Linked DNA regions of Arabidopsis thaliana. Each later gene encodes a partner of the first gene's protein in a complex. Each region holds a gene or a part of one and is shown in the gene's direction. Other genes may lie near its edges.

Evidence for each region.
Region 2: THO7 (region 1) and THO5 share a complex: the UniProt entries of both Arabidopsis thaliana proteins name them as parts of the THO complex.
Region 3: THO7 (region 1) and TEX1 share a complex: the UniProt entries of both Arabidopsis thaliana proteins name them as parts of the THO complex.
Region 4: THO7 (region 1) and THO2 share a complex: the UniProt entries of both Arabidopsis thaliana proteins name them as parts of the THO complex.

Annotation. Positions count from the first base shown.
Region 1 is NC_003074.8:664,340-669,014, reverse strand, and holds THO7 (Tho complex subunit 7/Mft1p), read left to right. Parts: upstream 1-2,092; 5' UTR 2,093-2,226; exon of another isoform or gene 2,227-2,418; intron 2,419-2,543; 5' UTR 2,544-2,575; coding exon 2,576-3,175; intron 3,176-3,273; coding exon 3,274-3,384; 3' UTR 3,385-3,792; downstream 3,793-4,675. Other genes in the region: AT3G02960 (Heavy metal transport/detoxification superfamily protein), read left to right, coding at 389-397, 487-661, 990-1,165, 1,298-1,391, 1,484-1,770. UniProt on the Arabidopsis thaliana protein: Acts as a component of the THO subcomplex of the TREX complex which is thought to couple mRNA transcription, processing and nuclear export.
Region 2 is NC_003076.8:17,205,021-17,211,947, reverse strand, and holds THO5 (THO complex, subunit 5), read left to right. Parts: upstream 1-2,297; 5' UTR 2,298-2,425; coding exon 2,426-2,677; exon of another isoform or gene 2,678-2,742; coding exon 2,743-3,033; intron 3,034-3,112; coding exon 3,113-3,449; intron 3,450-3,525; coding exon 3,526-3,863; intron 3,864-3,971; coding exon 3,972-4,219; intron 4,220-4,472; coding exon 4,473-5,064; intron 5,065-5,149; coding exon 5,150-5,284; intron 5,285-5,371; coding exon 5,372-5,638; 3' UTR 5,639-5,977; downstream 5,978-6,927. Other genes in the region: AT5G42930 (alpha/beta-Hydrolases superfamily protein), read left to right, coding at 88-223, 347-830, 959-1,210; AT5G42910 (Basic-leucine zipper (bZIP) transcription factor family protein), read right to left, coding at 6,737-6,802, 6,901-6,927. UniProt on the Arabidopsis thaliana protein: Acts as a component of the THO subcomplex of the TREX complex which is thought to couple mRNA transcription, processing and nuclear export.
Region 3 is NC_003076.8:22,721,618-22,727,346, reverse strand, and holds TEX1 (Transducin/WD40 repeat-like superfamily protein), read left to right. Parts: upstream 1-2,247; 5' UTR 2,248-2,281; coding exon 2,282-2,347; intron 2,348-2,443; coding exon 2,444-2,539; intron 2,540-2,713; coding exon 2,714-2,843; intron 2,844-3,155; coding exon 3,156-3,247; intron 3,248-3,357; coding exon 3,358-3,426; intron 3,427-3,611; coding exon 3,612-3,669; intron 3,670-3,785; coding exon 3,786-3,885; intron 3,886-3,977; coding exon 3,978-4,064; intron 4,065-4,148; coding exon 4,149-4,227; intron 4,228-4,322; coding exon 4,323-4,458; intron 4,459-4,557; coding exon 4,558-4,592; 3' UTR 4,593-4,865; downstream 4,866-5,729. Other genes in the region: AT5G56140 (RNA-binding KH domain-containing protein), read right to left, coding at 66-179, 592-737, 1,095-1,180, 1,695-1,885; AT5G56120 (RNA polymerase II elongation factor), read right to left, coding at 5,154-5,729. UniProt on the Arabidopsis thaliana protein: Acts as a component of the THO subcomplex of the TREX complex which is thought to couple mRNA transcription, processing and nuclear export. Contributes to the integrity of the endogenous trans-acting small interfering RNA (ta-siRNA) pathway.
Region 4 is NC_003070.9:8,739,979-8,745,575, forward strand, and holds the start of THO2 (THO2), read left to right. Parts: upstream 1-1,961; 5' UTR 1,962-2,085; exon of another isoform or gene 2,086-2,172; 5' UTR 2,173-2,231; coding exon 2,232-2,366; exon of another isoform or gene 2,367-2,462; coding exon 2,463-2,588; intron 2,589-2,698; coding exon 2,699-2,740; intron 2,741-3,230; coding exon 3,231-3,290; intron 3,291-3,856; coding exon 3,857-3,919; intron 3,920-4,125; coding exon 4,126-4,206; intron 4,207-4,259; exon of another isoform or gene 4,260-4,472; intron 4,473-4,559; coding exon 4,560-4,631; intron 4,632-4,698; coding exon 4,699-4,746; intron 4,747-4,852; coding exon 4,853-4,921; intron 4,922-5,008; coding exon 5,009-5,142; intron 5,143-5,597. UniProt on the Arabidopsis thaliana protein: Acts as a component of the THO subcomplex of the TREX complex which is thought to couple mRNA transcription, processing and nuclear export.

The DNA of each region.
Region 1 (4,675 bases):
TATTTGACAACAACAACAACAAAATGTTGATAAGTAAGAAAATAAAGCTCGAAGATTTGTAACTATTCATGATTTTAGAAAATCGGAATAATGAATAGTGTACTTATTTGGACACTGAATAAGAAGTTACACAAGTCCCGATTGAAATTTAATTTACTAATGATCGTTACAAAATTATTTGTCTCTTTGTCATCAATCCTGTTAGTGAATATTAGAATTATTATTCATTGTAAACAAATAGGATCATCCAGATTGAGAAGTAAATAATTTTATGTATGTTACAAATGAAATAATTAATTGATCGTAAAACCTCTCTGACCTTATATATATCGAGTCTCACTATTCAACTTTTTCATTGCACTTGTCGTACAAAGGAGTAAACATTGATATGGGAAAGGTATGTGCATTCCTGTCTTTGGTAATTCCAGTAATTTGTTAAGTAAATTATGTGAACTTATATTTTGTGTTTTGGATTTGGTTCTAAAGAACAAGCAAAATGGAGAATCAGACAACAAGTCTGAAAAGAAGAACCAGAAAAATGGAGATTCATCAGTCGATAAGTCTGATAAGAAAAATCAATGTAAAGAAATTGTTCTGAAGGTTTACATGCACTGTGAAGGATGTGCATCACAAGTTTCTCATTGCTTGAGGGGCTATGATGGTAATACTCTATTAAAAGAAACATTATTAGATTACTTTCCCTCTTTAATGGAATCATATATATATGGTCTCGATCATAAGAATCAATGTCAAATATTTAATCATTTATCATTGAGTGAAATTGTACTATAATTTAACTTAAGCATTATCTAGTCTGGTTTCAGTTTTATTTTTCTTTCCTGTAATCTAGAGAAGTTGTCTATTAATTCCCACAATGACATAACGAATAGTAATCTCTAGTTCTTAAAGCATCAATTAAAAAATAGGATTACCGTTTTTTTCTTCTTACTCATGACTCATAAGTAGCTATTATCTTATTTGTCTTATAGGGGTTGAGCATATTAAGACAGAGATAGGAGACAATAAAGTTGTTGTGTCTGGAAAATTTGATGATCCGTTGAAGATATTACGAAGAGTGCAAAAGAAATTTAGTAGAAATGCTGAGATGATTTCCCCAAAACATAACCCTAAACAAGATCAGAAGGAGCCACAGCAAAAGAAAGAAGTAAGTTATTTCCAATTATTTCGTGTTAGAACTTAGATATATACTCTCATTTATATCATACCTTGTCTAATTAATCTGAGAATAACAACTAACATATCTAATCATTTCTAAATATTTTTTGCATGATTTTAGAGTGCTCCCGAGATCAAAACTGCAATTTTAAGAATGAACATGCACTGTGAAGGATGTGTTCATGAAATCAAAAGAGGCATTGAAAAAATAAAAGGTAATCTTTGTATATACATATAGAAATAATACGATATCGAAAGTTAAAAAAAACAACTTAGAATATGTTTGTTTGTTTTGACAAATTAAAAGGCATTCAATCGGTGGAACCAGACCGGTCAAAGTCAACGGTAGTGGTACGAGGAGTCATGGATCCTCCAAAACTTGTGGAGAAAATCAAGAAAAAACTTGGGAAACATGCAGAGCTTCTAAGTCAAATTACAGAGAAAGGCAAAGACAATAATAAGAAGAACAATAATAAGAAGGAAGAAAGTGATGGAAACAAAATCTTTAGTTACCCTCCTCAGTATTCATCTCAACATGCTTATCCCTCTCAGATTTTTAGCGACGAAAATGTACATTCTTGTTCAATCATGTGATTTTTTGACCCGTAAAATTAGAGTCTTTTTAAGTTATCTTTTATGGTTTTGATTTCCTTGCTACACATTTCTATATCTCAATAGATTTTAATTTAATTTAATTTTTGAGTGACACTTTATGAAAGTAAGATTTGGTGTCATGTGTATACTCGATTACTAGATTATGTTTGTAGTTGTGGGCCTTTTGTACAATTATTTGTAAAAAAAAATTAACAGGGCATTAGAGTATAAAAAAAAAGAATGTGGGTATATATTATATTTTAATAACTTAGGGTCTATTTTGTAATATAATATAAGTTGAGAGTACTTGTTGCATTTAACCCAAAAAGAAAAAGACAAGGGAGGACGAAGATGAATTGTCTCAATTTTTAGGGTTCATCAAAATTTGAACAAAAGGGACCTGTTTTGCTCAATTTTTGATAGCAGAAGACGAATCTGGATCTGGGGTCACTTCAAGTAAGTAAAGAGTTAACCTTTTGCTTTTTTTTGTACCATAAATTGTGTTCGAATGGTACGATTGAGAAATTGCTTACGAATCAATGAAATAACAGTTAAGATTTTGATGATGAATGCTCATGAAAATCTATTTAAGTTTGATTGAGAAATTGAAGAAGAGAATAAGAAATCGAGAGATTTATTGCGTAAATGGTAATACTTTATGTTTCAGTTCTGCTATTTAGATCCAAGCTTGAATATGTATCCCTTAGCTTTATTTCTGTAGGTTAAGATTGTTTGGTTGTTGAATGTTCTTTGTTTGTGCATTGCCTTTGCAGGATTGAATTAAGAGGTTTTTAAGTAAGTTGAGATGTCAGTTAAAGCAAGGAGAATTTCTGGTAGATTAGAGACTGTAGTAACTAAGGTTAATTATGCATTTGATCCTGTTGACGATGACAAAATCATAAGAAACCGGCTTCTAACCCGAACCACGACCACTCGAGGCGAGCCTCCATTGAAGAAACTTCAGAAGAAGTTCACTTCTTTTGTACTCGAGGTGGATAAAGAAGAAGAGAACTATAACGACTGCGGTAGACTTGCCAAAGCTTTTTTACAGGAACTGTCAACTTTCGAGATTCCGCTTCTGAAGAGCCAAGCGGTTGTGGAAGCAAACCTTAGGGAGAAAGAGAGCTTTAATGAGGTGAAAGATGAGACGGAAAGGCAGATAATGCAGGCGAAAGCTGAGATTGAAGATCTAAAGAAGCAGCTTGAGGAGAGTAAAATAGATAGACAGCATAAAGAAGAGTGTGAGACGATAAGGAAACTGATTTCTGCGCAACCGCCAAGGTCAGAGACAGAGAAGGTTATATATGAATTGAACAAGGAGATTGCTGAGCTTGAAGCAGAGAGCACTGCAAGTTGGAGATTGCTTGAGCTAAGGAAGAAGCAGTTTGCTCTCCTGATGCATGTGGTAATGTCAAAAAACCGAACCTTTTACGTTTCAGTCTTCATTACGTGATCTATGTTTGAAGTTTGAGTTTGTGATTGTGAACGTTTTTGGGAATGTAGGTGGATGAGTTGCAGAACACAATGGAAGATGAGCAGAAGAGTTTGGTGGACGAGATTCGGTCAGCGTCGGAAGATCAGAGGAACATAACCGACGCTATGTCTGTTGATTAAGTCCAAATCTCGATAAAACCTGCATCATGTTTCAAGCGTTTGCTTTGTCATCTGTTTCCTGTTTCTGATATGCCTATGTTAACCAAAACTGCGGCAGCTCAGTATACTGAAACCTGTGATTCGGATAGAAGAACTGAGAAACAAAGATTGTTTCTTTCAAATTTGCAGATGCAAGAAAGATTGTATCATTGTAAAATGCAGATGTTTAAGAAATTATGGTTTGTATAACCGGTTAAGAAATACCAATTTCTTGGTAATGTACTTTTTTACTCCAAACCGAGGCTGAACTGTTGATTCAATTAAACCGAGGTGGTTTACTATAAATTAATTACGTCGTGACGGGTTTGCTTTTGAACCGGCTTAGAAATTAGAAATTAAACAGTGTTCCGCTTTTGACTTGGTTCGATAGGTTTGGGTTGCCCGATCATATTTATGGTTTTGCATTTGAGGTTTTTGTGTGTTTTAGATGTAGTCTAATTTGCCCCCAAAAAAAAAAAATGTAGTCTAATTTTGGTTGGTGCGGTTTCTATTTTCGGTGTCGAGAATAATTTTTACAAGTGTGATTGCATAATGAATATTTCATGCAAATCGATATCCACAAGCAAAGCTTAATGTTGATTTTTGGCAATATTTAATTATTAATAAAAAATAATAATGCGACCGACTAGCCAAATAGGCTTTATTGTCGTAATTGTAGGTTTCTATTTTCTTGAGAAATATTTGAGCAGCATTAGTGTTCGTATGTTAACACACGTTTCTCCGTTATTTTACTTGAGTCTCTCCTGTCTTAATCTTAAACACTAAAAATTAACTTTGAGTGTTTAATTTACACTAGAAATTCTAATGTTATCTTTTTGCTTTGACTCTAAAGACTAAAGTTATACTTTAGATTAGACATACGAATATATTCCAAAAATATTCCACCTTACCATTAAAAGAAGGTGGCATCTTTTGAGAAAATGTGATCCACTGATGATGCAATGTGTCTATTTTAAACTGAATCAAACAGAAAAGCAAAGTATTTAACTATATAAATTTTGTTTGATTAACTCGGATAGAAATCCAGTGATTCCGAACTTAAGCCAAACTCAATTTAACTTCGAATTGTTTCTCATGAGAGCATCTTTGTAGTTTTTAATCTATATAATTGCGATCGATTTCAATGATACAAATTAGTTCTAATTCATTTTAATCATATGAATTCATCATATTAGGTTAAATTTTGATGTGTCCACATTGAACACGTTTAGCATACAGTATTTGTCTTGTTTGTTCCGCATTATTTCACCAC
Region 2 (6,927 bases), on another chromosome or scaffold:
ATATACAGTTTTAAGATCAAATTCATTTTTCTATTTATATTATATAAACAAAAAAAATTAATTTATTTTTTCTTCCTTGGTTTTTAGGTTACCAGAAACAAAGATCAACGGAGGTGATTGTTATAAAGGACACAAGTACAGATCCAAACCTCATCATCGTTAGTTTCAGAGGCACTGATCCTTTCGATGCCGATGATTGGTGTACAGACCTGGATCTCTCTTGGTAATTTTAGTTTCTTTTGTTATAATTTATTTCCACACACAAACAGTCTAGGTTTTTGTTTTTATACTCTTTAAGTTCATCCTTTAGCCCCCCTAATAAAACTAGTATTGATTTCCAAAATAGGTACGAGGTTAAGAATGTGGGAAAGATTCATGGCGGGTTCATGAAAGCTTTGGGCCTTCAAAAAGAAGGATGGCCTAAAGAAGTAAACCTTGACGAAACCCAAAACGCAACAACTCTATATGCATACTACACTGTTAGGCGTCACTTAAAAGAAATCCTCGACCAAAACCCGACATCTAAATTTATATTGACCGGACATAGCCTAGGTGGGGCTTTAGCGATCCTATTCACGGCTGTTTTGGTGATGCATGATGAGGAGCAAATGCTAGAGAGACTAGAAGGAGTTTACACATTTGGACAGCCACGCGTAGGCGACGAGGAGTTTGGAAATTTCATGAAAGATTCACTAAAGAAGTTTGACGTGAAGTATGAAAGATATGTTTATTGCAACGACATGGTTCCTAGGTTGCCTTTCGACGACAAAACACTCATGTTTAAACACTTTGGGGCATGCCTTTACTATGACAGTTTCTATAAAGGAAAGGTTGGTTGCATATATATGACAATCTTGTTTCTTTGCTTTAATCACTCATCCGTCTAATGTCGCTTACGCACTTACCCTACTGATGATATCTATCTACATTGTTGTTGTTTAATTTGTATTATGTTCAGGTAGAGGAAGAGGAACCAAACAAAAACTACTTTAATCTCGTATGGGTTTTACCAAAGATAATGAATGCACTGTGGGAGTTGATACGTAGTTTCGTCATGCCTTATTGGAAAGGTGGAGAGTTCAGAGAAGGATGGTTCTTAAGGTGTTTTAGGGTTGTTGCATTGTTGATTCCTGGATTACCTGCTCACTTCCCTAATGAGTACATCAATGTTACTCTTTTAGGTGACTTACCTGACTCGCATCTTGATTAAATTTTGACGAAGTCATAAATTCTTTTGAAAAGTTGATGTGTTTAGCTTTTCTAGGGTCTCGTTTCGGTGATGTAGGTGTTATTTTCTTATTTTGGCCTTAGATCATCCTTTCTTTCTCGCAATGATTCTACGTCTCACTTTATCTTTATCTGCATCAAGAAAAGAAATGCATAAATATTTCAATAAATACTTAGTGAAACGATTCTCTTACCTGCGAGTTATACACACAAGCAAACCAATATAACAATCAACAAATAAATCATGAAATAAATCAAACCAATGAACAATCATCCATTGACACAACCATCTCGGGGGATTGAATAATGGTACCAAAAATACTGCCTATACATACAACAAATAAATCACACAATCTCAATTGCTTAGATAATCTCATGGTCACATACCCACCTCGAAACAAGAATGATTTTGAAACCAAAAACAACAATCCCACAACGAGCAGTAACTTCCTACTCACCAACAATATCTCAACTCACCATACATCCAACTACAACAGCAAACCAACCTTTAACCTAAATTGGAAAAAATCTGAAAATAACCCAAACAATTGGTCTCAAATATTGAGTCACGAATCGCAATCTAACCGTCCAATTCAAATCTCCACCGTTGAAACTCAACCCTCAAGATGTCCTGAAGCTAACCTCAAAGTTTAGTGATGATCTGACCGCAGGTGCACTCGAGATAATTTGTTTAATACACTCTGGTCTAAATCACGTCTGAAACAGAGGACTTTACGAAAACACAGATAACTTTTAGAATATTAACTCAAATCCAAATCCGCAAAGTGGTAAATCTAGTTATAAGGCTTAGCTACAACTCAATAAAATTTCCGTACCATAGAAGGCTATTTGATTGATCAAACCTCTGTTCTACCACGACATATCTGATATGTCTCTCTCTTCCTTCACCAAAATTATCAAGTAGTTTCCTTTTTGGTGTTTTTTACATAATATTTTTGATATCAAACCAAATTTTTTCTTGTCTTTATACAGAATTTTCTGAAAAAAAATGTTACATAATCTCTTTTACGCAATTATCATCCCATCATGGAGTAGATATAATATTTGTAACAAAATATAGTTTACATAAAAATCATAAATAGTTTGACAAAAAAACAAAGAACAAAAAAAAAGAAGAAGAGAAAAATCATAAATCCTGTCAGAAGTACCGGAGCGAGCCTGACTGGAGAAATCGAGAATGGAGGACGGCGAAATAGAGGAAGGAATGGTAACTGCCGACGAATTCCCGACGCCGGAAGTAACTACCATAGAGACTATACAACCTCCCCGAGAGCCAGGAAAATCTCCACTCGAGCTACTTCGAGAGAGCAAAACCTCCGTAGAAGAAATCGTCGCGAAGATGCTCTCCATGAAAAAACAAGGAAACCACAAATCTGAGATTCGAGAACTCCTCACTCAAATGTTCCTCAACTTCGTCAATCTTCGTCAGGTACTTACCAATCTTCTCCCTCCACCTCTTTCGCTATACGATACTTATTAGGGTTTTTTTCGCAGGCGAATCGGGCGATTTTGACTGAGGAAGATAAAGTGAAAGCGGAGACGGAAAGAGCAAAGGCACCTGTTGATTTCACGACATTGCAATTGCATAATCTTATGTATGAGAAGAGCCATTACGTTAAAGCTATCAAGGCTTGTAGAGATTTCAAATCTAAGTATCCTGATATTGACCTTGTTCCTGAACAAGACTTCTTTCGTCATGCTCCTGAAGCTATCAAAGATCAATCGCTTTCAAGTGATAGTTCTCATGTTTTGATGCCTAAGAGACTCAATTTTGAGCTTCATCAGGTTGGTTAATCATCACCATCTCTGAAATTCATTCAACGTGATATAATGTTTCATTACCTTTTTATGTTTTTTGATTCAGAGGAAAGAATTGTGTAAGCATCGAGCGAGATTGGAGCAACAGAAGAAGAGTTTATTAGAAACCATTGCGGAGCGTAAGAAGTTTTTGTCGAGTCTTCCTCTACACCTTAAGTCTCTGAAGAAAGCATCGCTTCCAGTACAGAACCACTTGGGTATACAGCACACAAAGAAACTGAAGCAGCATAATTTAGCTGAGCTGCTTCCTCCTCCGCTTTATGTTCTATACTCACAGCTCTTGGCACAAAAGGAAGCTTTTGAGGAGAGTATTGAATTGGAGGTAGTTGGGAGTCTTAAGGATGCTCAAGCTTATGCTAGACAACAATCCAGAAAGGACTCAGGTAAGTTGTTTTGAAAATTTACTGTGTTTTCTAATACTAAAACGAAAAGAATGCTAATTTGGTATTGGTTTTTCAGGTATGTCGAGTAATACAGAGAGTTCTAGGTTGGAGGATGATGGACCTGATGACGATGATGATGGACAAAGGAGAAGAAAACGACCCAAGAAACTTACTAGCAAAGAAGGTTCTGACAAGGCAGGATTATATCAAGTCCACCCTCTCAAAATTGTCCTTCACATATATGATGATGAGATACCAGATACAAAATCCTTGAAACTTGTCATTCTCAAGTTTGAGTACTTGCTGAAGTTGAATGTTGTATGTGTTGGCGCTGAAGGCTCTCAGGATGGACCAGAAAAAAACATATTTTGTAACTTGTTTCCAGATGACGCTGGACTTGAGCCTCCTCATCAGGTAACTTTTTGTTTCTGTGTTTCAGTTTTCTTCTACATGTGACTTTTGATGGCTTTACTTTTAAAAATGCATACTCAATTCTCTTTATATGGCCGGTTTTCCATGCAGTCAACCAAGCTCATCCTTGGTGATGGTCAGACGTTTGATGAGAACAGAACTTCAAGGCCTTATAAATGGGTACAACATTTGGCGGGAATTGATATTTCACCGGTTTTATTAGGCCAAGAAGCTCATAACACTGACCCAGCTAAAAGTGATACGTTTGTGCCTGATCTTTCATTGTATCGCCAGCAGCATAGAGTGCAAACAGTTCTGCGAAGAATACGCTTGCGGAAAAAAGCGCATCTGGCTCTTGCGTGAGTTCACCACTCTGTATGTTTTCCGTCTTAATTAAAGAACACGATGCAAAGAATTCCAGAAAATTAGTAGACCACCATGATAATCAGCATATGGTTTGTACATTTAATAGTTTGGGTTTGTCAATAACTTGGCGGTCAATTTAATCCCTCTGTAGCATTGTCAACTTCGTGATAAGAGCTTCTATAGGTAATTATTTCTGTTGATATGTTTATTTTTGCTGAATACTTTGGAAACTTCTACTGGCTACAGGGAACAGCTTGATTTGCTTATGAAACATGAGTTACCAGTGGTGAACTGCGAAGATGCTCCTTGGGCACTGCATAAGGTTCTCTGTGCTTTGGATTCCTGGTTACATATACAATCTTCAGCTAGTAAGTCATGCTCTCTGACTCTGAACAGTGTGGAACAAGTTCCAGAACCTATGGAAATCGATGTAGATGGAAGATCTATTTCTGGAAAAGAAGATTTTGAAAGTATACGGGAAGATGGAGAACTTCCCTCTTTGGTCACGGCGGCTGCTTCGTTAACCAGTTCCAATCATACCCCATCGAAAGTATCTAATCAAGCACGGTCAAGGCAGTTGGCCTTGATGACAAAGAATCTAGATTCTCCGATTAGCAAAGGAAAGTCCCCAAGTTTCAAGAAATACGAAGATGATTTGGATCTTGTTCTGGACGATGATAGTGAAATAGATGAGCCAACCGGAAGAACTGAGGCGCATGTGGAAGAGTTATGCCCTGAGAAAGCTGATAATTCATGGGTGGATTATGGTTCGAGAGAGTTTGCGCTTGTGTTCTCCAGGAAAACAGATGGCGGAAAGTTGTGGAAGTTAGAAGCAATGGTAACTTCTAAAACACTATCTTCTAATACGGTATCTTCCCTATATCTTTTTCTTTCTTAAGTGTTAAATCGAGTTGTATTGGCAGGTACAAATTAGCATGGAGTATCCTCTTCGACCTCCTTTGTTTTCTCTGTCTCTCCACGCATCTTCTTCATCAGGAAATGAAAATGGGACAAATGAAAGTGACCATTACAATGAACTTCGAGCAATGGAAGCAGAAGTAAGTGTCAAACCCAGTAACATATACTAATCTTTACTCGATGACACCAAAGATAACGCCTTTGTAACCTTTTCGTGGCGGTATCAGGTGAACCTTCATATGTTGAAGATTATTCCTTCAGATCAAGAAAACTATCTCCTATCTCATCAAATCAGATGCTTAGCAATGTTGTTCGACTATTACGTGGATGACCCATCTCCAGATTCCAAAAGAGGAACAGCCACAACTGTGGTTGATGTCGGTTTGTGCAAGCCTGTTGACGGTAAGCTTCTTGTGAGATCATTCAGAGGCAGAGATCACCGGAAAATGATCTCATGGAAGGGCAGAGGATGTGCATCGGGTTATCCATGCTAGAGATTACATCGCCACTCACTTCTCTATATTATCTTTCTCTGGTGGTACAAGCAAAAGTTTTTGCATGTAACATTTTTTTATCGTATAAACCGTTATTGAAACAGCCTACTTGTTGGGTGAGGACCTGGTCTGTTTTAAACCTGGCAATGTTTCAAGTCCAATCCGTTTTAGCCTGCTCTGTTTTGGTCTCGATTTAAGCATTAAAGCCTAGCGGGTAGCTTGGAAACTAGAAAAGTGAAAAAGGGCTCGTCACAGGTTTTGGAGAAAAAAAAAGGAATCAACTCGTAGACAACCGTTATTACAGGTTGCTACTGCAATCATTGACAAATGTTGTTCCTGCAATTGGAGGTAGTGAAGAAAACAAAACCAAATCAAATTGGATATTAGTTTATAACTTTCAAGTGATTATATAGTTTGATTTACTTTAACTTTTAGTTTTTTTGTCATCTTATTTAAGTACAATTACCAAGGAAATATGCAAGTTTGAATTACAAGAGCGGGCGGAAAATAAATACATCCCAAAAACTTAATCCAAAAGAAGGAAGCGAATCCCTAAATTACAGGAAAACTGTCAAACGTAAATTTTTACATATCAAAAAGACAAAGCAAAATCAAAGGCATGAACGAAGACCTAAGAGGAACCACGATTTGCTAAATTCACTCCCATGTCCCAGGAAGAACAAAGCCAACCACAAAAGACAGTGAAATTTTTCGTGTTTTGTTGCAAATGAATCAACACTGAATTTTTTTGATTTATTATAGGAGTTATTTTTGTATATTGCAAATGAATCAATAGTGAAAAAATTTAGCAGCAATTATTGAGCCTATAATATAATTTTATAGTTTTATGGTTGAGATTAGTATGACATTGTTTTCTAAAGCCAAAATAATAATATTTAATAGTAGTATTTTCTGGCTCCAATAAAAATAAGTTTTGGATTTTCCCCTAGACCATGAGAATTCGATCTTTAGGACATTATCAAATGGGTTTAAGAATAAGATGTCTAATAAATAGCTTATTTGGTCAAAAATATACGAAAACAAAACATGATGAACAAAATAAACTCATCATCATCCTCCAACTCGGGTTTCATTGATTCACTTGATGTCCGATTTCGTTCTCCTCAGCTTTCTCTCCGGTCGTTCATGAAGGCTAATCATTCCCTTCACGTATTATTTAGATATACAAAAAGTTAGAACAAGGTTCTCAAGTTTTTAATTGATGTACGGTTGAGGAAATAAGATTGGAATAAATAGATTACTGGTTCCATTTGTCTTTTCCGCAACTC
Region 3 (5,729 bases), on another chromosome or scaffold:
AAAATTAAGGAGTTACATTCCAACCAGGAAGTAGTATATCTCAGTGTAGAAATGAAAGTTCATACATTCGGATAATTGTCGACTGGAATATCGACCCTGATTGTACGCTTGGCGATGAGACCGGACGAACTACCAGGTGAGTTAAGCCAATTTGGTCCCGGAGATGATGGAACAGATCTCTGCAAATGATCAACCAACAAAATTAGAAGCAAGATCAACCTTTAAGCATAAGCACATGAATACTGCAACTTCTTGCCCTGGAACTTCATTCAATGAGAGTGGTCACTGTATCAAGGCATTTCAACCTGTAGCTGTTATATCCTAATAATATGCATACAGTGACCACAGATATATGAGAAAATTATAGCATTAATTTCAATCCTACTCGTGAGGATAGTGGAGTATCTAATTAGTGTTGATCTAAGGTATGAACATACAAACATTACGGATATGAAGTGTTAGCCTACCTGTCATGATAAACTAGGACTAAAAGCAGTCAAATATGTTATGTCAGTATTATAACTTAAGTCAATAAAACTTCTATTGCAGTAGTATGAATTAGAGAGTTATGTTAATGGTTAGTAGTCATACTTCTGATGGAAACTGGGAGGCCCATCCATTCATGTCAGCTCTTGCATTCTGAAATATCCCTCCAGAAGCCAGAGGGCTAGGGTGGTCAAGCCCACTCTGACTTAAAACTGTAGCATTCTCCAACAGTGTGGTTACACGCAAAATTTCTGTTCCAAAAATGTCAATTTGCAAGAGTAAGACGCACCAGTTAGAATTAGTCAACAAATCAGTCACCAAGACACCAATGAATGGAGAGACAGCATAGTTAATTGAGTTAGCTTAAAATATATTTTTGCTCTCACTCTAGTTAAATACACTCTGGTTAAATAGAATGAAGTCAGTATAAGAAATATAGAATTAGTCATTTCGTGATCTACTTCTAATAGCTAACAATTAGGTCTCTCTTAGCAGTACTGTTTAAGAGTTTATCAACTGTATTATAGCTTCATGAATCTGAAGCAAAGAATGAAGTATTATGTGAGATGAAAATACAAATAATAAACAACAAAAACAGTAATGCTCACCTTGGTTTAGTAGCCGAAATGCATGTGGAAGCACAGGCAGGAATGGAGTAAGCTTATGACGCTCTGCAAGTAACTCTGAAAGATACCTGCCAAAACAGAAATTGTGCAGAGTATCCAAATTAGTAAAAAAGCCTCAAAGACACATCAAACTTACAAACAGATACACTCAAATTCACTCTAAATCGATACAACCAGATTCAAATTTCCATTCTTTTGTGAAGTGGATCTAGTCAATCTTCCAAAAATCGTATTTTTTTTAACAGTTTCATCAGCCAAGAACAGAAATCAACAATAACAGAAACGAACACAACCAATGAAATGATCCTCACACACTAAAGACTTATGCTTTACAAAAAATGAACTGGATTGAGACAAATCTGAAATAGACTGAGCTAGTTCCGAAACATAGATCCTAATATAATCAAAAGAAAACAAAAAAGACAAAAATCCAGATTCGAGATACACTATTAAGATCTAAAAATCAAAATCAGCAAAGCAAAGATCAACATACTTCATCAGATACATCAGCTAATTATAAAAGATCACCAAACAATAAAAAACAAAAATATAAAAGAAGATGAAAAACTAAGATTCGATTACTTCTCTTGCTCAACGAAGACAGAAGACTGTGATCGGAGACCACCGGAGTAATTAGGAGACTGAGGAGCAGAAGGAGGCACCGAAAGAGACGACGAATACGTCATAAACCTCCCTCCGCCGCCACCACCAATACCACCACCACTTCCTCCTCCTCCACCACCACCACCACCAAGCGACGACATCATCATCATCTCGAAGACAACAGAATCAGAGTAAATCTGTCGGAGATTAGAAGAAGAAGAAGAAGCGGCGGAGGCAGAACCAAAGCTGTTGTTGTCTCTCTATAACGTCGGTGGATTTAAGAGGTCATTTTATAGAGACTGTGAAATGATTACTTGTTGTTTGCTTAGCTGTTTTTTTTTTCACCTTTTTTCTTTGTTTCATATTTTACCCAATTTTACCGCTCTTCTTGTTAGTTTCTCTCTGAAGACTCTTAACCATCTAGAAGGTTTTTTACATCCGGTTTACTAAAATTCGATTCGGTTTATCTATACCGGAATGACTAAACGCTGCGTTTCAGGAAGCGAAGCTCTGATATTCAGTAGGCCGCGAAGGAAGGTTGAAGAAGAAGAGTTGAGAATTAAAAAATGGAGGAGACGACGATTCCTTTCAAGAGCTTACATAGCAGAGAATATCAAGGTCATAAGAAGAAGGTTTTTTTTTTCTATCTCCAGTCTAATTTTCTGTACTCAATAAAACTTGCGAAACCCTAGTTTTTTGCTGAATCTGGGGGAATTTTTGGATTGAAGGTACATTCAGTAGCTTGGAATTCGAATGGAACAAAGCTTGCTTCGGGTTCTGTTGATCAAACGGCTCGCATTTGGAATATCGAACCACACGGTCATGTAATTTCTTTACCTTTTTGAGCTATGGGAACTTCTATGTGTTTTTGATGATGATGAATACATATGGAGAAGTATTGTAGATTGAGTTAAAACTCGATTATTATCTTTGTCATTGTTACTTTTTGAGTTATGTAGTTTTTGTAATTTGGTTGTTTGTGTGGTGTGTGGATACAGAGCAAGGCTAAGGACCTTGAGCTAAAGGGTCATACTGATAGTGTGGATCAGCTATGTTGGGATCCCAAACATTCAGATCTTGTTGCTACTGCCTCTGGTGATAAAAGCGTTCGTCTTTGGGATGCTCGCAGTAAGTTATATTCTTTTAATCGTTTAGTTTTGCTCCTGAAATATGCCTGGAGCTTGGTTTAGAAATCTGTATATTTTCTAATGGATTAGCTATGTGTCATTCACAAATATTTCTCGCAATCTTGGCCTTTGCTTTTGAGTCATATCGCGGAGACTATTGATTGATGAGGATCGGATCTAAGTTTCTTAGAATTATAAATTAGTTATTTAGCCAGATTCCATAAGAGAGGAATTTGATCAGGTTTTTGATATGTGGCTACTATTGTATGTTTTACTATCAATTGCTGAGATATGTCTTCTTCGAGTTCTACAGGTGGAAAATGCACACAGCAGGTAGAACTTAGTGGAGAGAATATAAACATCACCTACAAACCTGACGGGACACATGTAGCTGTTGGTAATAGGGTATTGTCTCGAGCCCCATATCTTTACACTTTCATTGTTCTTACTGTCTATGGATTACTTGATAGATCCCTTTTCATAGTCGTTGTCCTTTCTCTTACTGGCCAATGTAGGATGATGAGCTTACAATTCTGGATGTCCGTAAGTTTAAACCTCTACACAGGCGCAAATTCAATTATGAGGTAACGTAAGCTCAGACTCATGTTAATCTTTATTAATGGCTTTTTTTTTATAAGGCTCTTCCGTATCTCCTGTTTCAAGCTCATGCGGTTATATGTCACCTAAGTTCCTTGTTCATGTAATAATCGTCAAGTAATTTTCTGGTGCCGTATGGAATGTTCTCTTATCTTTTGTCTTCTTGTAACAGGTTAATGAGATTGCTTGGAACATGCCTGGAGATTTTTTCTTCTTGACTACTGGACTTGGTGAGGATTTTAAATTCTGTACTTTCCTGCACACGATTCCCTACCAAAGATTTCTTTGTTTTTGAACTTGAGAAAATGATCTTACTGAAAGTTACTTTGTATGTTGTCCTGCTCAGGCACTGTTGAAGTTCTTTCATATCCATCTCTTAAACCACTTGACACTCTCACAGCCCACACAGCCGGGTGTTATTGTATTGCAATTGATCCTAAAGGGAGGTAATATATATTTACATTTGTGGGCTGGCCTCTGAGACACGAATGATAATCTTTTTGCTTTTGCATCTAATTCTTCCTCTTTACCTTAACAGATATTTTGCTGTCGGGAGTGCGGATTCCTTAGTAAGCCTTTGGGATATCTCAGACATGCTTTGTTTGAGAACATTTACCAAACTTGAGTGAGTATCAACATGAATTTTCCATAGAGTAGAAAAAGGTTTAATTTCTGTTACATGTTAGTAATTTATAACTATTTCTCACAGGTGGCCAGTCAGAACAATAAGCTTCAACTATTCGGGAGAGTATATTGCTTCAGCCAGTGAAGATTTATTCATTGATATTGTAAGTGATTGCCCAGACTTAAACACTGCTAATTTCAATGTAGTTTCCTCAATATGAGATTAGTTCCTCGTATCTGACCACTAACTACCAAACAGGCTAATGTCCAAACCGGGCGGACGGTGCATCAGATTCCATGTCGGGCAGCCATGAACAGTGTTGAGTGGAATCCCAAATACAATTTACTTGCATATGCAGGTGATGACAAGAATCCCAAGTATAATACTGATGAAGGTACTACCGCGTATTAGTACTTCATTGTTAGCAACAACTCAAAACTCTAATATTGGTAGCAGAAAATGAACAATGACAACAACTTGGATCTCTTTGCAGGTGTTTTCCGGATATTTGGTTTTGAGAGCTCGTAGGAACAGAGCACTGAATCGGGAAACATGATACACAACTCCACTTGATTGTTCCTTGTTGAGTTAGAAAAAGTTTATGTGCCTAGTGTACCTAAATATGTATTGTCAGTATATCAAGTTGGAATAATCTTACAGTATCACTAAATACATTGAAAGTTTGCAGTTCTGAATCTGGCATTTTATTTATTGCAAAAATTTGTTACTATACAAGCAATGTTGTTTATTATTAACGAAGAATGAAATTAATAAGATCAAGATCAGAATTCTAATCCCGAATTACATCAATTTTCTACTATGTGTGAGTACTGCTAAAAGTTACAGGTTGTTCTTATTCCCTCCGGCGAATCTTCAGTCTGGGAGATTTGACAGCTACTCTCTCAAAGCTAGAACAGAGGCCAATGGTAAGATCGGACCAAAAGCATCATCCCCACAATGAAGGTTGAAGAAAGAATGCAGAGTCCTGAGAAAGAAAACACATTTATTACTGAGAGTCCAATTTTGGATTAAAGAACAAGAAGAGCACACGATTTGCTTACCGAACAAACAGTGAATAGGAAGAGTTTGTCAAAATCCGCAGAGGATGAACTTTGAGACCGGGAAGAACAACCCTGCAGAGCAAAGAAGAACAATAGTTATCAAATACTGAGAGAACCAAGTAACAGGTTTCCACTTGATCTCAACGCTTGAACTCTTCATCCTCTTCCCACTCATCGGCTCTTTCGACAAATCAAAGCTCGACCCTTTCATCCTCAACTCCAAAACACACCGTGTAAGCGTTCTATTATCATTCCTCTCCCTATTAACACCTCTGTAAACTTTCCAGAACACAAACAGCTTAGCTTGAACAAGAAACACCAGAACCAATGAAGTAGCTAATGACACTGCAGAAGGTATCCACCATTTCTTGCAAACCGCATTACTTTTCACCACGTCAGCATCATCAGAACAAGAAGAAGAGTAGACAAGTGTGAAGAAGAACCCATGGAAGACTAGGAAGAAACAACAAAGCTGAAAGATCTCTCTTTTGATTGACTCTAGTCTTGATTCTTTAAGAAGAACACGACGACAGAACAAATCTTCTTCTCTTTGCCATAACTTCAAAAGCAACAAATGTCCTGGACTCTCTGAGATTTCAGACAA
Region 4 (5,597 bases), on another chromosome or scaffold:
AAGCCTTGCAAACTGTTCCAAGATCCACGCGAAAATGAACAAGAACATGATGATCGAGGAGTTCGGAGCTAGGGAAGAACAGTTGTCTTAAAGAGGACGTTTCTTGTTTCCTAATTCTCTATCTTATGGAAGCATCCTAATTATGATTTGTCTTTGTGTTGTGTGTTAATTGGTGTCTTTTCTAAATTGTTCTTTGTTTGTTTTAATTTTCTTTCTATATTCCTAGGAATGGATTTGTTTCGGGTGACACTGTTGGGCTAAAACAGACACGGTTTTGTCTCTTGCACTTAACATAATTATACTGTTTGATTTCTAATCAGATTTAATACAAAAAAATTAAAAAAGACGACACACTGTCTGTTTGTCTGGATCGGAAAAGTAGTTTGTATTCGTTTTCCATATAATGGATACATATTTGATTTGCTATAAATTATAACCCTAGGTTATGAAGATTTTTTTTTTTTTTTAGGTTACGAAGAATGTTGACGTAAATTGTAAAGACAACAAAAATAGTATTTTCATCAACATTACTTAGTTTTATTCCATGCATGATGGAACTTTGGTTGAGGATTTCTATTTCTCACAAGGTAAATTCCATCATTTCTAGCAATCTAACGACGTAGAGCATCACATCGATCAATGTTGGCTGCTCTATATGCTACAAAATCTTTATAATATCGCATGTATAAGCCGTGTTTCAAAAGACAAGTCCATCTTGTCCTTCTTCCAAACATGTCTCCGAAACGGATTTGTTTTAGTTCCTTGAATTGTAAATTTGCGACGTCTAAATTGTCGTCTTTTGAATGACGATGATACTAGAGAACCAAACCGGGACCAAGATCATTCATAATTTCAATTGTGTTACGTTTACAAGACAAAACTGATACAAGCAATCCAAAATACGTCGCAACAACTAACATAAAAATTATAAAACGATTCATTTTTCGGGTAATATGAAACTCCAATTTGAATTTAATGACACCAAAGTACAGTATCTATAGTTATTTCGTGTGGTTAGTATTTGACGATTTTCCTATGGCCTTAATAAATTAGTTAAACTGAAACACAAACATGTAGTTAATAATAGATAATGTCGGAAAGTCTGGTTGACTAATAAAAAAAAACAAATGAATTCAACATTACAAATTATAAGTGATCCAAAAAACCTAACAAAAACCAAAATGTTTAATATATAACAAAAATTCTTCTAAGCATATTCTTTAATTCTAGACGAGGCAATTTGGAAGCACTGATTTGAACATAACAAAATAACAGCAGCCCTCGCGCCAATACAGGCACATTAAGTTTAACTATAAATGACTTTTAGCGGATTAGATTTTAACATAATGAGTTTATAAACAGGCCAGACCTAAAACAAATAGCTTTCGAATAACGTTGGTCAAACCGACCCGTTTTCTTTTGTTGTTGTTTCTTGAGCAAAGGAGGACGAGGAGGAGAAGAAGGAGAAGATGACTGTAAGTTGGATCAACTTTTCAATTGCTTATGGATCTTTTCTGACTTTCTTTGATCGTTTTTTTGTCCCGAGTAGTTAACGATTCTGGTTGAAAACGGGAATGGAGCGAAGAACGCTGAGAAATTTTTTAGGTTTTGGTTTCCATATTTTAGTTAATTTGGTATGTTACTAGCTAGTACTTGTACTCGTTGCTTTCTATTTGTTTATATCTGTTAGGACCAAAAGATGTAATTAACATTTTTAATTCGATATTTGCCTAATTGCCTTGTTAGTAGTATCGTGGTGGACTCAAAGATCATCTGAGCCCATGGGCTTGTTCAATAACAACCAATTCATAGTTTCACGCCCATTCAAAACAAAATCATACGACTTAACCGGACCCGGTTTTGTATTGAAATTGTATACAACATAATTTGCTGAAACAAAAGACGACAGAAAAACAAAATCGGTAAGTAGTAGAAAAAGGAAAAGAATAGTCCCCTCTTCTGCAAAATCAAAAACATATTTGCATCATCTTCACACCGTCATCATCATCGTCTTCAATTTACTTCCACCAAATCAAATAATCTCTCAAAAACCCTAATTTCTCTTTTTCTTCTCTGATCAAAATTGTTCGTTCCTCTCCCTTTTCATCTTATCGGAATGCTTATTTTCTGGTCGCCAATCGAAGTCTAAACCCTATTTTCTTAATCTTCTAGGGTTTCGAAAAGGGAGGAGAGTGAAAGATATACATACATACACACGAAAGGGGTTTAAGATGTCTCTTCCGCTACTGGAGTGTAAGTACGTGACGGAGGAGTTTGTTCGTGAAGGTAAGAATGGCAACTATGGAACCAAGCTGCCCAGCTCTGTGCCGATGCTTCGTTTCCTCTACGAGCTCTCTTGGATTTTGGTATACACACAAACACCACCTTCTCTTCCTACTACTATCCAATCACGCGTATATGTTGTTCGAGTTCCTCAACGGTGCCTCGTGATGGATTATTAGGTTCGTGGCGAATTGCCAATTCAGAGCTGTAAGGCAGTGTTGGAAGGTGTGGAGTTTTTGGATAAGCCATCGAGAGAAGAATTAGCTTCGTGTTTTGCGGATGTTGTGACTCAGATAGCTCAAGACGTAAGTCCAATTACAGTTTTGACATCCTTAGCTCAGAGATGATTGTGCAAGGTTATTGATACTGATCGTTGGATTGATTGGGTTCGTGTTCTCTTTGCTTTGTTTTGCAGCTTACCATGTCGGGAGATCAACGTTCTCGTCTAATCAAATTGGTGAGTGCTAGAATTTATTTTACGTTTTGAAAATTGATCATTGTTTGGATTTGTTAGTCTTGAGGAAAGATAATTCTAGCTCTTTAGATATTAGTGATCACAAAAAGTAACATCCTATGAATAGATTAGGCATGTGGTGTATAGCTATCAGTAGTGTCCTAAGGTTCAACCAACCGATGGCTCATCCTGGGCAGGTTGCAAGAAAGTTCCTGATTGTAAAAGGCTACTTCATCCTAAGGAGCTGAAACTTTGACCATAGTGCCTTAGATGATCTATTAGCGTAGTTTGGTATTGAATTTTCCTTGTATGCTTGATCCAATGTTCTCTGATGAGCTGCTTACAGAGGAGTTGTTAGCATATGTCTTATTTTATTGAATTTGATGATTGCGTACTTTAGTTTCTTCCTTAAAATATTCTTTCTGTTCTCATTTACCATCTCCTCAAGGTTTCTATGCTCACAGCTAATGAACCAATTGTTCTTTTTTGGTAGGCGAAATGGCTTGTGGAATCACAGACAGTCCCTCAAAGGCTTTTCCAAGAGCGTTGCGAGGTAAACATTATGTTACGTTCAGCCAATGAAACAGAGTAATACGTAGAGAATCTTTATATTAATAGAACTTAAAACAAGAAAATACAGCTTTGAGAGGTTTCTTAATAGAGTCCCCTCTTATCCCCCCTTCCACCTTTCACTAGTTCTCGATAACTCCCTCACTGGTACCCCTCATCTATATAGCATGTGCATCATGCAATCCTACTGCCCATCATAGAAACCGTAGCTTGAACAAGTCTGGAGTGATAGATAGAGACTGCTAAATAATAGTTATTGTAGCTGCTAAGGTAGTTATAGAAGTTAACTTCAAGGCTGTAGCCTGTTTCGAATGTCACATTAATCCCTTAAGACTGAAGAATTGTCCTCAAAGATCCAGTGGACCAGCTGGTCTCACGGAATAGCCCTCTTCTTCTTGCTGTAGATGTAAAGGATAGGAGCGGGCAAGTCCTAAAATGTTTGTTATTATTCCCAATTTGAGTAGTTTGTACCCCACCCACTTAACCTCTCTATTTTCTTGATCAGTAAGAAGAAAATTTTCTGAAGGCGTTTTATTTATTTTATTTTAGGAGGAGTTTCTCTGGGAAGCTGATATGGTTAAAATAAAGGCCCAAGATTTGAAGGGGAAAGAGGTGAGGACTTCACACTTCTGTAACTGCTGTATTAATATGACTTCACACTTTAGTCATCAATGCAGCTGCACTGTGCTCTGATTTACGTAATAGTTACTCTGAGTGAATTGCTATTGCGAAAGATTAATGCTTATAAGAATTTCTACTTTACCTGTGTAACTACTGCTCATTGTTTATAAGTAACAATTCTGGTTGATGCTTCTCAGGTGCGATTAAACACTCGTCTTCTGTACCAGCAGACAAAGTTCAACTTACTCCGTGAAGAAAGCGAGGGATATGCCAAATTGGTTCGTTATAGAAGATCTCTAGCAGTCTAGTTTTTTTTTTTTTTTTTTTTTTTATCTATTGTCATTCTTTCTGTCCACTTCGTTTCTATTGTCTTTTCTTAGATACTCTTTACTTCTGTTTTTTCTGAAACACAACTTTAAGGAATACCCCTTTAGTTTTTGGAAGGGATGATCTTTTCAACAATGCTGATTTGGCCTTTCCTTTTCACACGGTTCCAGTTGGAAGGCATATCTTCTGCTAGTTTTATTACCTATAACTGTGCAGAGTAATGAACATATTATCTCAGTAGAGATTCGATTAAGTCAGATTATACATACACCAACTTATAGCAGTTCCTTTTTGTGGAGTGCAGGCCACTCTTTTGTGCCGAGGATCTGCAAGTTCTTCGCACAATGCATCAGCAGCAACGATGGGAATTATCAAGGTTTTGATTCGGCCAATACATTATATTTCGCCCATTTACTTTTTCTGAACTTTATATTTTCTTGCAGTCATTAATTGGGCATTTTGACCTGGATCCAAACCGTGTTTTCGACATTGTAAGTTTTCACTGTTGCTTCTGTCATATTTTTGTTTGATATTGCATAACGCATCAATCTGTCCTTCCCGATTAGTAATAATGTACCCTTTGTTTTTGATGAATAGGTTTTAGATTGCTTTGAACTCGAACAAGATTACGACACATTTCTCAATCTAATTCCTATCTTTCCCAAGGTTTGGAATGTCTTCCTCGTATTTTTATCTTCTAATGCTTAGCTCAAGAGACTATTTTTTGCTAAAAAAAATAATTTTCATGTGCAGTCTCATGCTTCACAAATTCTTGGATTTAAATTCCAATACTATCAGAGACTAGAGGTGAATAGCCCTGTTCCAGTTGGGCTCTATAAGCTTACAGCCTTGCTAGTAAAGGAAGAGTTTATCAATCTTGAAAGCATGTGAGTAGTTTTTTCTTCAACTGTTTTTTCCGCCCTTTCCTTTCTTGCTTTCAAGGTCTTTGGAGCCTCTCGGGAATATTCAAAATCGAGCATTATGTGTAGCCTTAAGAAAGTATACTGGTTTTATCTTTTGTCGTAGACTGAAGTCTCCTTACTAATTGGATACTTGTAGGTAGTCTTCTTCATGACGATTTCTTTTCTTTTCATTATGTGAGAATAAGGTTATACTTGCACACTGGTTTTTATCCTTTTTTGCAGACTGAAGTCTTCTTTCTAATTGGATTCTTGTACATGTCTTCTTCATAACGAGTTTTTTTTTTCATTGAGAATAGGACTAGATCAGTTGGAATGTAAATGAAAGATTCTCTTCTCTTCTGCACCTGTCTCTTGTTTCTAGTTGTTTGGTATCAATTTTAAGTTTGTTTCTTACTGTACTCTGAAAGTTACTTTTTTAC